Linked DNA regions of Coturnix japonica. The protein of the gene in region 1 purifies or fractionates together with the protein of each later gene. This does not show direct contact. Links are inferred from orthologs where the notes say so. Each region holds a gene or a part of one and is shown on either strand. Other genes may lie near its edges. The genes, in order: PFDN4, PDRG1 and PFDN1.

Region 1 (3,732 bases):
AAGACATGGATCTATTGGAGTGGGTCAAGAGGAGGCCATGAGGATGCTGAGAGGGTTGGAGAACCAATCCCATGAAGATAGGTTGGGAGAGTTCAGGGGGAGGATCCCAAGAGACTTTCCAGTGGCCTTCCAGTACCTAGAAGGGCCTCCAGGAAAGATGAGAAAATATTCTTTGTAATACATCTTAAGCTGTTCATGGTTAATATATGAGGAGGGAGGTAGAAGATATGGATGCCATCAGGCAGTGAAGTGTATGTTAGTCTCCCTTATCAGGTCCTAAGAACAGGACTGTTGCATACAATCAGACTATTTAAAGCATCACCTCGGAGAGACAGCTTACATAGATTTTGCCTTCAGAAAATGTTTTTTATCATTGTTTTGGCTGCCTGGGACTGAATGTGCTCACCTCACTCATCTCACTCACAGCACCAGCTGGTTTTCTTTGTTATCTCCCCACACGTCACTCATAGACCCACAGACCCTAATGCAGATTTCAGAGTTCCTTGTATAAGTCAGCACACCTTTCACTCCCCATACCCAGCTTTGGCTCCCCATACCCAGCAACTTTCTCTGGATCTGACTCTAATCACTTTCAATTGCGCATAACAGAAAGATGAATCACAGGAAAAACACCTGAAAATACGTTCAGACACCTTCCATTACAGGATTGTTTGATTGTTTCCTTCCACACCTGACAACACTACATGGCACCAGTATCTGTCTTTGCCGGGTGTGTATGTTTCTGATACTGATCATTTTGCATTATGATGCTGGCAGAGCAAAGCCGGGCTCAGCACGGAGCCCTCGGGATCCTCATCAGAGCCACCCAGCCGCTGTTTTAGTATCACGGGGTGCACCAACCAACCCAGCACAAAACGCTGACAGGGATCCCATCATTTCTGAGCTGTGTGGGTAAGAGCCTCCCATTTATTCCCCCGTGCAGATGATGCCTCGCACCCCCAGCTGCCTGCGGCTCCCAGCTCTCTCCCCCGCAGTTGTGAAACGAGATGATGATCCGATTTTTCACCGCCGTTTTGTTTTGTGGACGTGAGAGGAGTTAAATAAACCAAAGCATGTGGATGCAATGACACGGTGTGAGTGCCAGCTTCTGTTTATGGACCAGCAACCCGGGCAGTTCAGTGGCGCCCCCTGGTGGCAGCATCACTCCTGCAGGCGGAGCGGCGTGTCCCCTCCTCGAGGTGGGATGTACCAATCGCTGATGTAACGGGGGGGATAATGATGTCGGCGCGGCTCGCTCCGGGCAGATGGGCTCCTTATGGGTGGTTATGGAGGATGAACGGACGCCTCGAGCTGTCTCAAGCCGCCTCGTGTGGCCATTGCCTCGCGCTGTCATCGTTTTTCTTCTCATTCTCCAAGTGGGTTTCCTCCTCTGAAGGGAAGGCGAATAGTTCGGCCCTGCCAACATGGCCGCCACCATGAAGAAAGCGGTGAGTGTTGGCTGCGGGCTCTCCCAGCCCTGTCCTGCTCTCCATGTCGCTTTGTCTCTCTCTGTCCCCGGTTCCCCTTCCTGGGCCGGGTCCCCTCAGCTCCCAGCCCGGCCCTTGTGAGACCTCGGGCTGCTCTGCCCGTTCCCTGCGGCCCTGTAAGGAGTATGGCATGTGGGCAGGTTGTTGTAGGGGTTATTTTGTGTTGTGGGGAGCATCTCGTGGTAAGGTTGGATTGGAACCTGATGAAGAGGCCGAGCCTTCGTGTTGACCTCTGATATTTGCAGGCTGCCGAAGATGTCAACGTTACTTTTGAGGATCAGCAGAAAATTAACAAGTTTGCGAGAAATACCAGCAGGATCACGGAGCTGAAAGAAGAAATAGAGGTGAAAAAGGTACACCTGCTTTACGTTTGGTTTGTTGAGTTAATTTCTGGTTGTAGCATAGAAAATAGTGGCCGTAACTAAGTAAAAGAAAGCCTTTATGGCAGCAAATCAGGCAGCAGTGGAATATGCCTCCTGTATTTCCTTAGTTTAGGTGGTTAATTATGCTGTTAATGAGACATAGTAAGTGTTGAGTAATTATTGGTACAATTCCACTGAATTTAAGATGCCCCAGATGTGAAGTTGGATATTCAGCTGATCCTGTGACATTGCGTTCACTGAAGTCACTCATACAGTACAAGTTTTATCACCTTTCTTACATCTTGACAGAAACAGCTTCAGAATCTGGAAGATGCCTGTGATGACATCATGATGCTTGACGATGATTCACTTTTCGTACCCTACCAAATTGGAGATGTCTTCATTAGCCATTCCCAAGAGGAGACACAAGAGATGCTGGAGGAGGCAAAGGTTTGTCAGAGCTAAAGGGAGCTCCTTTACTTCACAGTTTACTATTGGAGTACAAAGTTCTGTCCTACACAAGGATTTATAGACTAAATATAAATGAGAATCTTCTTTGATGCATCCTATGTGCGTACTCTCATCATTCACCTATATAGGTTCTCTAATGCAATACATTCATGTTTGGTTTATGATTTTGGGGAGGGAAATGTGTGCAAATGTAAGCTCATGGAGTTGTCATTAGACAAAGTATTGATGGGTTTCAGTTGGCTCCCTGAACGTGTTACAGCACACCTTGACTAGAAGTTGTCAAGGAGGTGCCTTTTAATCATTGAAGTGTTGCTGCCAAACATGGCTCAGTTTGCTGTACGTAACCAGCTGATTTCTTTCTTTTTCAGAGAAGTTTACAAGAAGAAATTGACACATTAGAATCCCGAGTGGAATCAATTCAAAGAGTGCTGTCTGACCTGAAAGTTCAGCTCTATGCCAAGTTTGGAAATAACATAAATCTCGAGGCTGAGGACAGTTAAAAGTTCTCTAAAACACGACGTGTCTTTTCCTTGTTTATTAATTGTTTGATACTTATCAAAAAATTCCAAAAAATGTTTAAAAAAAAGAAAAAGTGACCTATTTTTTTCTTTTATTTTTTCTACTTTCCTGTCTCGGGTTCCATCTATTTAATGAGAGCTCTCATATTTTGGTTTTTGCAGTTATTTATTTGCTCAGGAAAGCAGTAGCTTCATACTGTTGGTAAAGCACCAAGGTTGGCATGTTTGCATTGTTTGCTAAAGTAATAAAGTCAGGCATATATTATAGTTTCCTTGGTCTTGTTTTCATCTCTTGTAAATACTTAAAATCTGTTGTATAAAAGCAACAGAAGTGGGGAACTGTTTTTTTTCTTCTTTTTACACTGTATTGATGGACAGGTGACATTTAGGGCACGGTCTTGCATTGAGCTGTGAGATTGTAAATCAGAATGATGAGTCCTTAACCTCTTTAATTTTCCTCAAGGTTCATTTTCTAAATCCATCTTTACATATTTAAAAAAAATAAAGTCTTTTTAGTTTAGGCTGAGTTTGACCTGTAATAAGAAGCATCCAGCAGATGGCAGCAGAGAACTGGGGGAGCTGCTTCATGGTAAACTTGTGTCTGGGCTCTGCTGGCCAGAACAGATTGTGTTGAAATGGAAACTGTGACTGCTGTGATTATTCTCATTAATTGATTGATAACACTTTAATTCCTAAGGGACTGCTGTGCCAGCTCTTCTGTTCCAAGCATAGTTATGGCTGCGTACCCTGCAATTTTCAGGATGGATATGGCTTCTTTAAAGAAAAGGGGGGGGGGGGAAAGCAGTTAGCATTTGTTTCAATGTGATGTGAATGGCAGCTGTAAAGCAGGTGAGGACCTTGTTCACTATATGACCCAAAGGGAGAATGCTGGTA
Region 2 (3,380 bases), about 2.1 Mb from region 1:
AGAACAGATGTAAGGTGCCTCAGATACTAAGTTAACATTACTTTCAGTCTGTGCATCTCTAACTTAAGCCTGAAGTGGAGAGCAGATGAGCTACCTGGAGAGCCAGAGCTGATTTTATGACCTCTGCCAAAACTATTATGACTTAAATCAGTTATCCCATTGCTACAGGCCAAATCCAGCCTGTTCAAGCTGCAGTTTTTGCTAATATGTGTCCATTTTATTCTTTCATCCTGTTTTGAGAGCCTTATTTTTCTGTATTCTCTTGGCTCCCACCTTGACAGCAGCCTGTGTTTTCCCATTGAGACAAACACGCTGCTGCCTTCTGTTCCTCCCTACGCATCTCTCAGGAGATTCCTGACGTGTTTCAGATGCACGGGTTTCATTTCATTTTAATACCACAGGCACACACAGCTCTTCTATACTCTGGGCACGCTGTACATTTACAATTCCTCCTACTTCTGTTCCTGACACTGCAGTGAACTCGCTCTGCAGCCAAACTACAGAAGCTCTCACATAACAAACCCAACAACAAACACACACACACAGAGTTAGGAATGCCCCACAGTGCTGGTTTTAATAATCCCCCTTGCAGGCGGGTGTTTGTCAGAGGCTGTGAATAAGCCACTGTTCCAGCAGTTGCCTCAGCACTGCTCTGCCACCGGCAGCAAGGAGTGGGGAGAGTTTACAGCCAGAATTACAGCTGAGGAGCTGTATCCTTCCCTGTGCCCACCAGGTTCTTTAGGAGAGGCTCCAGCAATGCAGGAGAGCTGGAAATCCTACAGGCTGTGTCTGATGCAGTGCAAATGCTGTGAGTGATACCCGACCACCGCAGGCTGAGCAGTGCTTGCACACGGTTGTGGTGGTGGCAGGGCTGTCTCAACCTTCCAGGATGCGATTGATCAGTTTCATTTCCTCTGCACTCATGGGGTTCAGGTTAAATCCCTTCAGCTCAGGTTTACCTGTAGGGATGTGCAGAACGTTGGGGTTTTGCTATAAGACACATGAAGCATTCCATGTGAAACCACGCAGCAATGATGGCTCTCAGCATCGTGAAGGTTGGAAAAGAGCCCTGAGATCATGAAACCCAACCCTGCCCACATCCCTCAGTGCCACATCCCTGCGGTGCTGGGATGCCTGCAGGGATGGTGATGGAGAACCAATTGTTCCTACTATCCACCCTGGTCGTTGCTGTGTGTATCCAGCACGCTGCTGGCTGACAGCTTTACCAGGGTAGGGAGGGAATGACAGAGTGAGAGGAGGAGCAGCCCCGGCAGCACTCACACATTGACTTCTCCCCAGCATCTGCAGCCAGACCTTTGCTGTTGGGGTTCAAGACCAGGAGTGTTTTACCTTGAGCTTCAAAGAGACGGTTGACCTTCACACGCAGCTCTTTCCGGAGGTTGTTTATCTCCTCATCCAGCTGTTCCTGATCTGAAAATAGCAGGGCAAGAATAAGGGGGGTTAACCCATGACATGGGGACTGGGGTTGAACAAGGGACCAACAGAGACCCTGCCGGGCTGTGTGAGCAGGGCAGGATGGCAGCATTGCTCTGTTTTAGCTCCGAGCTCCTCGGGGTGAGCAGATCCCTCCGTACCGCTCTGCAGCATCTCCTTGGCCTTGGCCTTGTGCAGCTCGATGAAGGTGCTCCCGAAGCACACCATGGCTTTCCCTGCAGTGAGGACCAGCCGTGCTCAGCGCTGTGCCCCGCACACACCGCCCCGATCCCGGCCGAGCTCCGGGACTCACCGTCCGGCTCCGGGTCTTTAAGCAGCGCCCGCAGCGCCTCGCGGTTCCGGTTCCGCTTCACGTCCAGATCGACGATCTGCAAAGAGACGGGAGGGGATGGGGATAAAGGGGGGGGTCGGGGGTTGTCGGGCCGAACCGGGTCGGGTCTCACCTGCTGCCGTGCGGCCAGCACGTCCTCGGCCAGCTCCTCCACCTCGGCCAGGTAGCGCAGCACAAACGCTGGGTCCCGCGCCATGTCGGGCCGCTCCGCCCCGTCCCATCCCCGCTCCCCGCCGGGCGGCAGCAGCGGCCGCGATCCGGAGTTCCGCGTAGAGCGCCCCCGTGTGGACACTGCGGGAATTGCAGTGTCAATTGCTGACAATAGCAGGACACGGGGAAATGGTTTTGAGTTAAAAGAGGGAAGATTTAGGTTGGATGTTAGGGGGAAGTTCTTCACTAGGAGAGTGGTTAGGGCCTGGAACAGGCTGCCCAGGGAGGTTGTGGATGCCCCGTCCTTGGAGGTGTTCAAGGCCAGGTTGGACGGGGCCATGGGCAACCTGATGTAGTAAAGGTGTATGTTTGGTGGCCCTGCCAGGCAGGGGGGTTGGAACTACATGATCCTTGAGGTCCCTTCCAACCCGGCTCATTCTGTGGTTCTGTATGTGAATCGGCCGGGCAGTGCTGTGGGGCGGCTCTGAAACACGGGGTGAGATTTCAGGGCTCCCCTGGTGGAGCTGAGGGTTGGGTTCAGTCATTGCTTCCATCCTGGGGTGTTCTGTGGTTCTGTGGCTGCCAGGAGCGAAGCTCTTGGTGCGCAAATAATCCCCAGAGGAAGATTAAGCAGATCGGAAGATTACCGGCCTTAATCTCGTAAAGTCGTTTGTGACAGTTAACGGGAGAGATCTCGGTCTGTGGCAGAGTGTGCTGAAAGAAGAAGGTGCCCAGTGAAGTGGTGGAAATGAGCACTGCCCGTCTGCATCCAACCCCGTCCTAGCGGGGACTTGGAGCTCGATGATCCTTGAGGTCCCTTCCACCTCGAGCCATCACATTCTACGTGATAGCAGTAGCAGAGAGAAGCCTGATGTCCACCCCTGAAGCAGGCAGTGCTACTCAGCAGCTCACAGCAAAATAAAGGCTGTGGGTTTACCGTGGCCACACAGAGGGTTGCATGAGAGCTGCAGCTGAGCTGTGGCAGGAGGCATCACAAAGCTTTGGGCACCTGGAAAACATTCCCAAGGCAACGATGGCTGCTGGTGCCATGCTCTGCAGGCCTCTCCCACAGCAGGCCCTGAGCCAGATGCAAATCATCACAGCCTTCCTTCTCCTGGACCCGGCGCCGTAGGAAAGCTGCTTGCCTGGAAGCTGGACTCAGCCTGAAGGCTGGAGGCTCGTTCAGATTGATTGCATGTTTATGTGCCCTCCTGGGAACCTGTCTGTGCAGACAGAGCATGTGGTCATCCACTCGCTGCTATGGGATGGTTTGCATCTGTCTGTATTTTGTGGCGTAAAGGGAAGGTCTGGGTTTCAGCACGTTCCTTTTTCTTTCTTCCTTGAATCACTTTCATTTATGCAGCTCAGAACCCTCCCTGCCTGCCTGCTGACAGCTGCACAGGAAGGCTTCAGGGATGTTTATGGGGTGGGTTTTTTTTCCTTC
Region 3 (4,208 bases), on another chromosome or scaffold:
TTTATTTTAGATAAATTGTACATAGTATTTATATTTATTGGAGGTCTGCCTCTGTACCCTTTGTGTAACTCAAGATGACCCTTGTGTGGGTCAGACCTCCTTTATTTTTTAAGTGCAATGTAATATTCTAATAAATAACTTTGTAACAAACACGTGAGTTGTTGATTTAAGAGATGTGGGTCAGGTCTCCAAAGGGTACAGATAACAACTTGCCCTTTATGGTGGGGTACTAAAACTACCCAGGAGCATCTGTGGAGCAGCGGCACAGATCTCAAGCCTGCTGGCCTTGGGGTGCAGCAGGGATAATCCTGCTGGGGTACTCCCTGGAGGGGGGAGGGTTATGGGGAGCTGGGGTGTGGTCTGCCCTGCTCCTTGCCCTGGAACCTGCAGCTGTGGCAGCCCCGCGTGTTCTTGTATCTCGGCTGGCTCATGAATGGCTGCAATGCTTGGGTGAAGCAAAGCCACCTTGAGTTCAGCCACTGCAATCTAAATCCAGTGCCCAGCAGGGGCCTGGAGCAAGGCACTGAGCCCTGCCACCCAGCCTGCCTCCCTCGAGTGCTCCATCCCACTGCTGACACTCCTTGTGCCCCAGCACTGAGCCCTGCAACCTGCAGCACACCTCCTCCTCCACGAACACCGGCTGTTCTCCAGAGCAAGGCTCGTAGGCAGGCAGAATCTTTGGATTTAATTTAAAACCAAATCCAAACCAACACAGTGTGTTACAGCAGCCTGTTTGATAACCAAGTGTTGGTGCAGTGCAGTGCCACCATTGCTCACCTCACAGCCATGATCTGCATGGAGCAGAAGAGCTGCAGCACTGCAGGAGCGGAGCTCGGCCTGCGCTTCTGAGGGAGGCAGCCAAGGAGAAACCCCAAAGCTGCAGTGCTGCCTCCCTTTGGGAACAGCCACAGCCCCGCGGGTGGTTCCATTCCCCCCAGAGGAGCATTGGTGGGATGCTGTGAGGGCTGAGCACCTCCCCGATGAAGGCAGGCTGAGGGAGCCAGGCTTGTTCAGCCTAGAGAAGAGAAGGCTGTGGGGTGACATCATTGCAGCCTTCCAGCATTTAAAAGGGGATAATAAACAGGAGAGGAATCAGTTTTTTACTGGTGTGGACAGTGATAGGACAAGGGGGAAAGGTTTTAAGCCCAAGGAGGGAAGGTTTAGGCTGGATGTTGGGGGAAGTTCTACACATAGAGCGGGGAGGTGCTGGCACAGGCTGCACGGAGGGGCTGTGGATGCCCCATCCCTGGCTGTGTTCAAGGCCGGGCTGGATGGAGCCCTGTGCCATGTATCAGATATGGAGGTCGGTGGGCTGGAACCTGCTGCTCCTCGGCCCCCTCCCACCCCACCCCGCTCTAACCTCCATTCGGCCGCAGCCCGCTCCGCCCCGCCCTCCCACCGCCCCCACTGCGCAGGCGCCGAGCGTGGGGAAGATGGCGGCGCCCGTTGACTTGGAGCTGAAGAAGGTAACGGGTGTCCGGCTCCGTCCGACGTGTTTCTCGGGCCGCTGCTCCCCCTCCTCCCCCTCCTCCCCCTCCTCTCCCCGCAGTTTGGGCCGGCTCGGCCCGGCCGGGCGCCCCCCGCCCCTCTGCCCCCGGCCCGGCCGCAGCCGCTCGACGTGCCGCTCTGCCACCACAGGCCTTCACGGAGCTGCAGGCCAAGGTGATCGACACGCAGCAGAAGGTGAAGCTCGCCGACATCCAGATCGAGCAGCTCAGCAAGAGCAAGAAGCACGCGCACCTCACCGACACCGAGATCATGACGCTGGTGGACGAGACGCGCATGTACGAGGGCGTGGGCAGGATGTGAGTAGCGGCCGCACCGTCCCTGCAGAAGCAGGGATGCTGGGCTCCACGAGGAGCATCGGGGGAGCATCAGTGTGCACCCGGAGTATCGGTGTGCACCCGGAGTATCGGTGTGCACCCGGAGCATCAGTGTGCACCCGGAGCATCGGTGTGCACCCGGAGCATCGGTGTGCACCCGGAGCATCGGTGTGCACCCGGAGCATCGGTGTGCACCCGGAGCATCGGTGTGCACCCGGAGTATCGGTGTGCACCCGGAGTATCGGTGTGCACCCGGAGCATCAGTGTGCACCCGGAGTATCGGTGTGCACCCGGAGCATCGGTGTGCACCCGGAGTATCGGTGTGCACCCGGAGTATCGGTGTGCACCCGGAGCATCGGTGTGCACCCGGGCACGGTGCCCTGGGCAGCACCAGCGAGTGTGTGTCGGGCTGGTGGTGTCCACGTGCCTCAGCATTTGGAAGTGAGCACGAGGCTGATGCGCACTCGAGGAGCCGCCTGCCCGCGCTGGGTGGTGTCTCACACCTCACACCTGCAGTGATGCACCTGGGTTATTCTGGCAGCGCAGCTCTGACTGCAGCAGCCTCATGAAGTGCAACACACAAACTGGGTTCCAGTCTGACGTGTGTGCTGACTCACTGTGCCGTGCTAACTTTCTGTGTGTGCTTTTTCTCTTCCATTGTGAACTGGGCAACAGTGATGATTACGCTTATTCAGGGATGATGTTTTATAGAAGGTTGAATCTGATTTGATTGCTGCCCACAGGGCGATTGCATCTCCCCGCTCCCAACTCTCCTTTGTGCTGCAGCAGACTTGTAGCTGGTTCAGCCTGCTGTTGCGGTGAGTTCCTGGGCCTGATTCATGTCATCACACAATCTGTTGGGTGAGTCTTAGGGAGCTGCGGGCTGGGAAGCCAGGACTGGTATGTGGACTGCGCTTCACTGGTAGTTGTCAGGTAAGACCAATGGGAAAATGAAGCTGTGCCTGGGTTCATCCTGGGCAGCCTGATCTAGTATTTGGCAGCCCTGCCTGCCGCAGAGGGTTGAAGCTCAGTGGTCTCTAGGTCCTTCCCAACTGAAGCTCAGTGGTCTCTAGGTCCTTCCCAACTGAAGCTCAGTGGTCTCTAGGTCCTTTCCAACTGAAGCTACTCTGTGATTTTGATGGGGGGGTGTGTAGCGTGACAGCCTTCTTTGGACCACTGTGGAATTACTCCTGTTAAGTTTTCCAAGCAGATGAACTTGGGTTTGTGTGGAGCTGCTGATGATGTTGAAAGGAGATAGAATTTGCAGATCTCTTGCAGGAGATAGCTGATATGACCCAGGCAGGCTGTAGGCTCATTGTTTTTGTCACAGAAAAGACAAACTAAGAGATTCTGGAAGCAACAATTTTTCTTCAAATTTTTTTTTATTTTTTTATCTTTAATCTTAAAGCAGGGTATACTTCTCCATTATGAAATAATTCCTCAAGATTCTTTGAAAGCATCAATATATCAGCCTTCATTGTAAAATGTTGGTTGTGAATGAGATAATGTTTCTGTGCTAACTGAAAAGTACTGTCCTGCTTTCAACCCAGCTGCTGGAGTCCAGTCTTTTTGAGACTGTACTCTTGCTTACCTTCATGTGACCGGGCAGGTGGTTCAGACTCTGCTGTGCAGCACTTTGCTCCTCAGTGATGGTAGAAAAATACTATCTGCATGATATTAGTCTTCAAATGTTTGAAGTGTGAACTCTTTGCGGGTTCTGTTGTCCTAGTCACTATGCAAATTCAGGTTAAGAGTGCTCATGCTCTCCAAACTACTTATTCACTGATTTATTTTACTTTTATTTCCCCTTCCTTAGCTTACTGCAGTGTTTCTGTGAGTTATGCCTGATTTGGCCATGGGGCTTAAGTCTGCCTTTCAAATTAGTAGTTCTATTTGGGTAGAACGAGCTATTCCAGGACTTTGTGAAAACGGAGTGTTTCAGGAATGTGATGGTGTGCTGTATCCTGGGAAGAAGTCTACCTAGTTCCATACTTCTGCGCTACTTGTAAAGAATTATGTGGTTCCTGCTCTGAGCCCAGAGCCTGCTTCCTGCCCAAGAGGCTTTCCCTGAGCCACTGGCAAATGTGAAAGCCCATTTGTTGTTCCTAAACATTTACTGTAGCTAATTTTGGTTTAACACAACCATTGTCAGTGCCACATAGTATGAGGTGATGAATTGCTGTGTACTGTACATATCTGTTTGACTAGGATATCATCTGAGTAGTGGCACCGTGCCAAATACATTTTCATTCTCTTACTTCATGCTCTTTGAAAGGCTTGTTATCTAGCCTGAGACAACTACCACTGTGGTGGACTCCTGCTTAAGCTATTTGTGAACTGATATCATCGTGCTGCTTTGAGAACTATGCCGAAAGCTTAAGCTTC

Evidence for each region.
Region 2: the proteins of PFDN4 (region 1) and PDRG1 purify together in Homo sapiens (co-immunoprecipitation; 3 studies listed by BioGRID and IntAct, counting the BioPlex papers as one, with this or other methods). This does not show direct contact. The link is inferred for Coturnix japonica from reciprocal best matches to the Homo sapiens genes PFDN4 and PDRG1.
Region 3: the proteins of PFDN4 (region 1) and PFDN1 purify together in Homo sapiens (affinity purification with mass spectrometry; 5 studies listed by BioGRID and IntAct, counting the BioPlex papers as one, with this or other methods). This does not show direct contact. The link is inferred for Coturnix japonica from reciprocal best matches to the Homo sapiens genes PFDN4 and PFDN1.

What each region holds. Positions count from the first base shown.
Region 1 is NC_029535.1:11,098,397-11,102,128, reverse strand, and holds PFDN4 (prefoldin subunit 4), read left to right. Parts: upstream 1-1,311; 5' UTR 1,312-1,424; coding exon 1,425-1,448; intron 1,449-1,732; coding exon 1,733-1,840; intron 1,841-2,158; coding exon 2,159-2,299; intron 2,300-2,688; coding exon 2,689-2,820; 3' UTR 2,821-3,105; downstream 3,106-3,732. UniProt on the Homo sapiens protein: Binds specifically to cytosolic chaperonin (c-CPN) and transfers target proteins to it. Binds to nascent polypeptide chain and promotes folding in an environment in which there are many competing pathways for nonnative proteins.
Region 2 is NC_029535.1:8,958,190-8,961,569, reverse strand, and holds PDRG1 (p53 and DNA damage-regulated protein 1), read right to left. Parts: upstream 2,057-3,380; 5' UTR 1,983-2,056; coding exon 1,899-1,982; intron 1,824-1,898; coding exon 1,748-1,823; intron 1,671-1,747; coding exon 1,596-1,670; intron 1,432-1,595; coding exon 1,351-1,431; intron 960-1,350; coding exon 877-959; 3' UTR 549-876; downstream 1-548. UniProt on the Homo sapiens protein: May play a role in chaperone-mediated protein folding.
Region 3 is NC_029528.1:15,558,083-15,562,290, reverse strand, and holds the start of PFDN1 (prefoldin subunit 1), read left to right. Parts: upstream 1-1,341; 5' UTR 1,342-1,433; coding exon 1,434-1,466; intron 1,467-1,638; coding exon 1,639-1,805; intron 1,806-2,566; coding exon 2,567-2,641; intron 2,642-2,762; exon of another isoform or gene 2,763-2,896; intron 2,897-2,928; exon of another isoform or gene 2,929-4,208. UniProt on the Homo sapiens protein: Binds specifically to cytosolic chaperonin (c-CPN) and transfers target proteins to it. Binds to nascent polypeptide chain and promotes folding in an environment in which there are many competing pathways for nonnative proteins.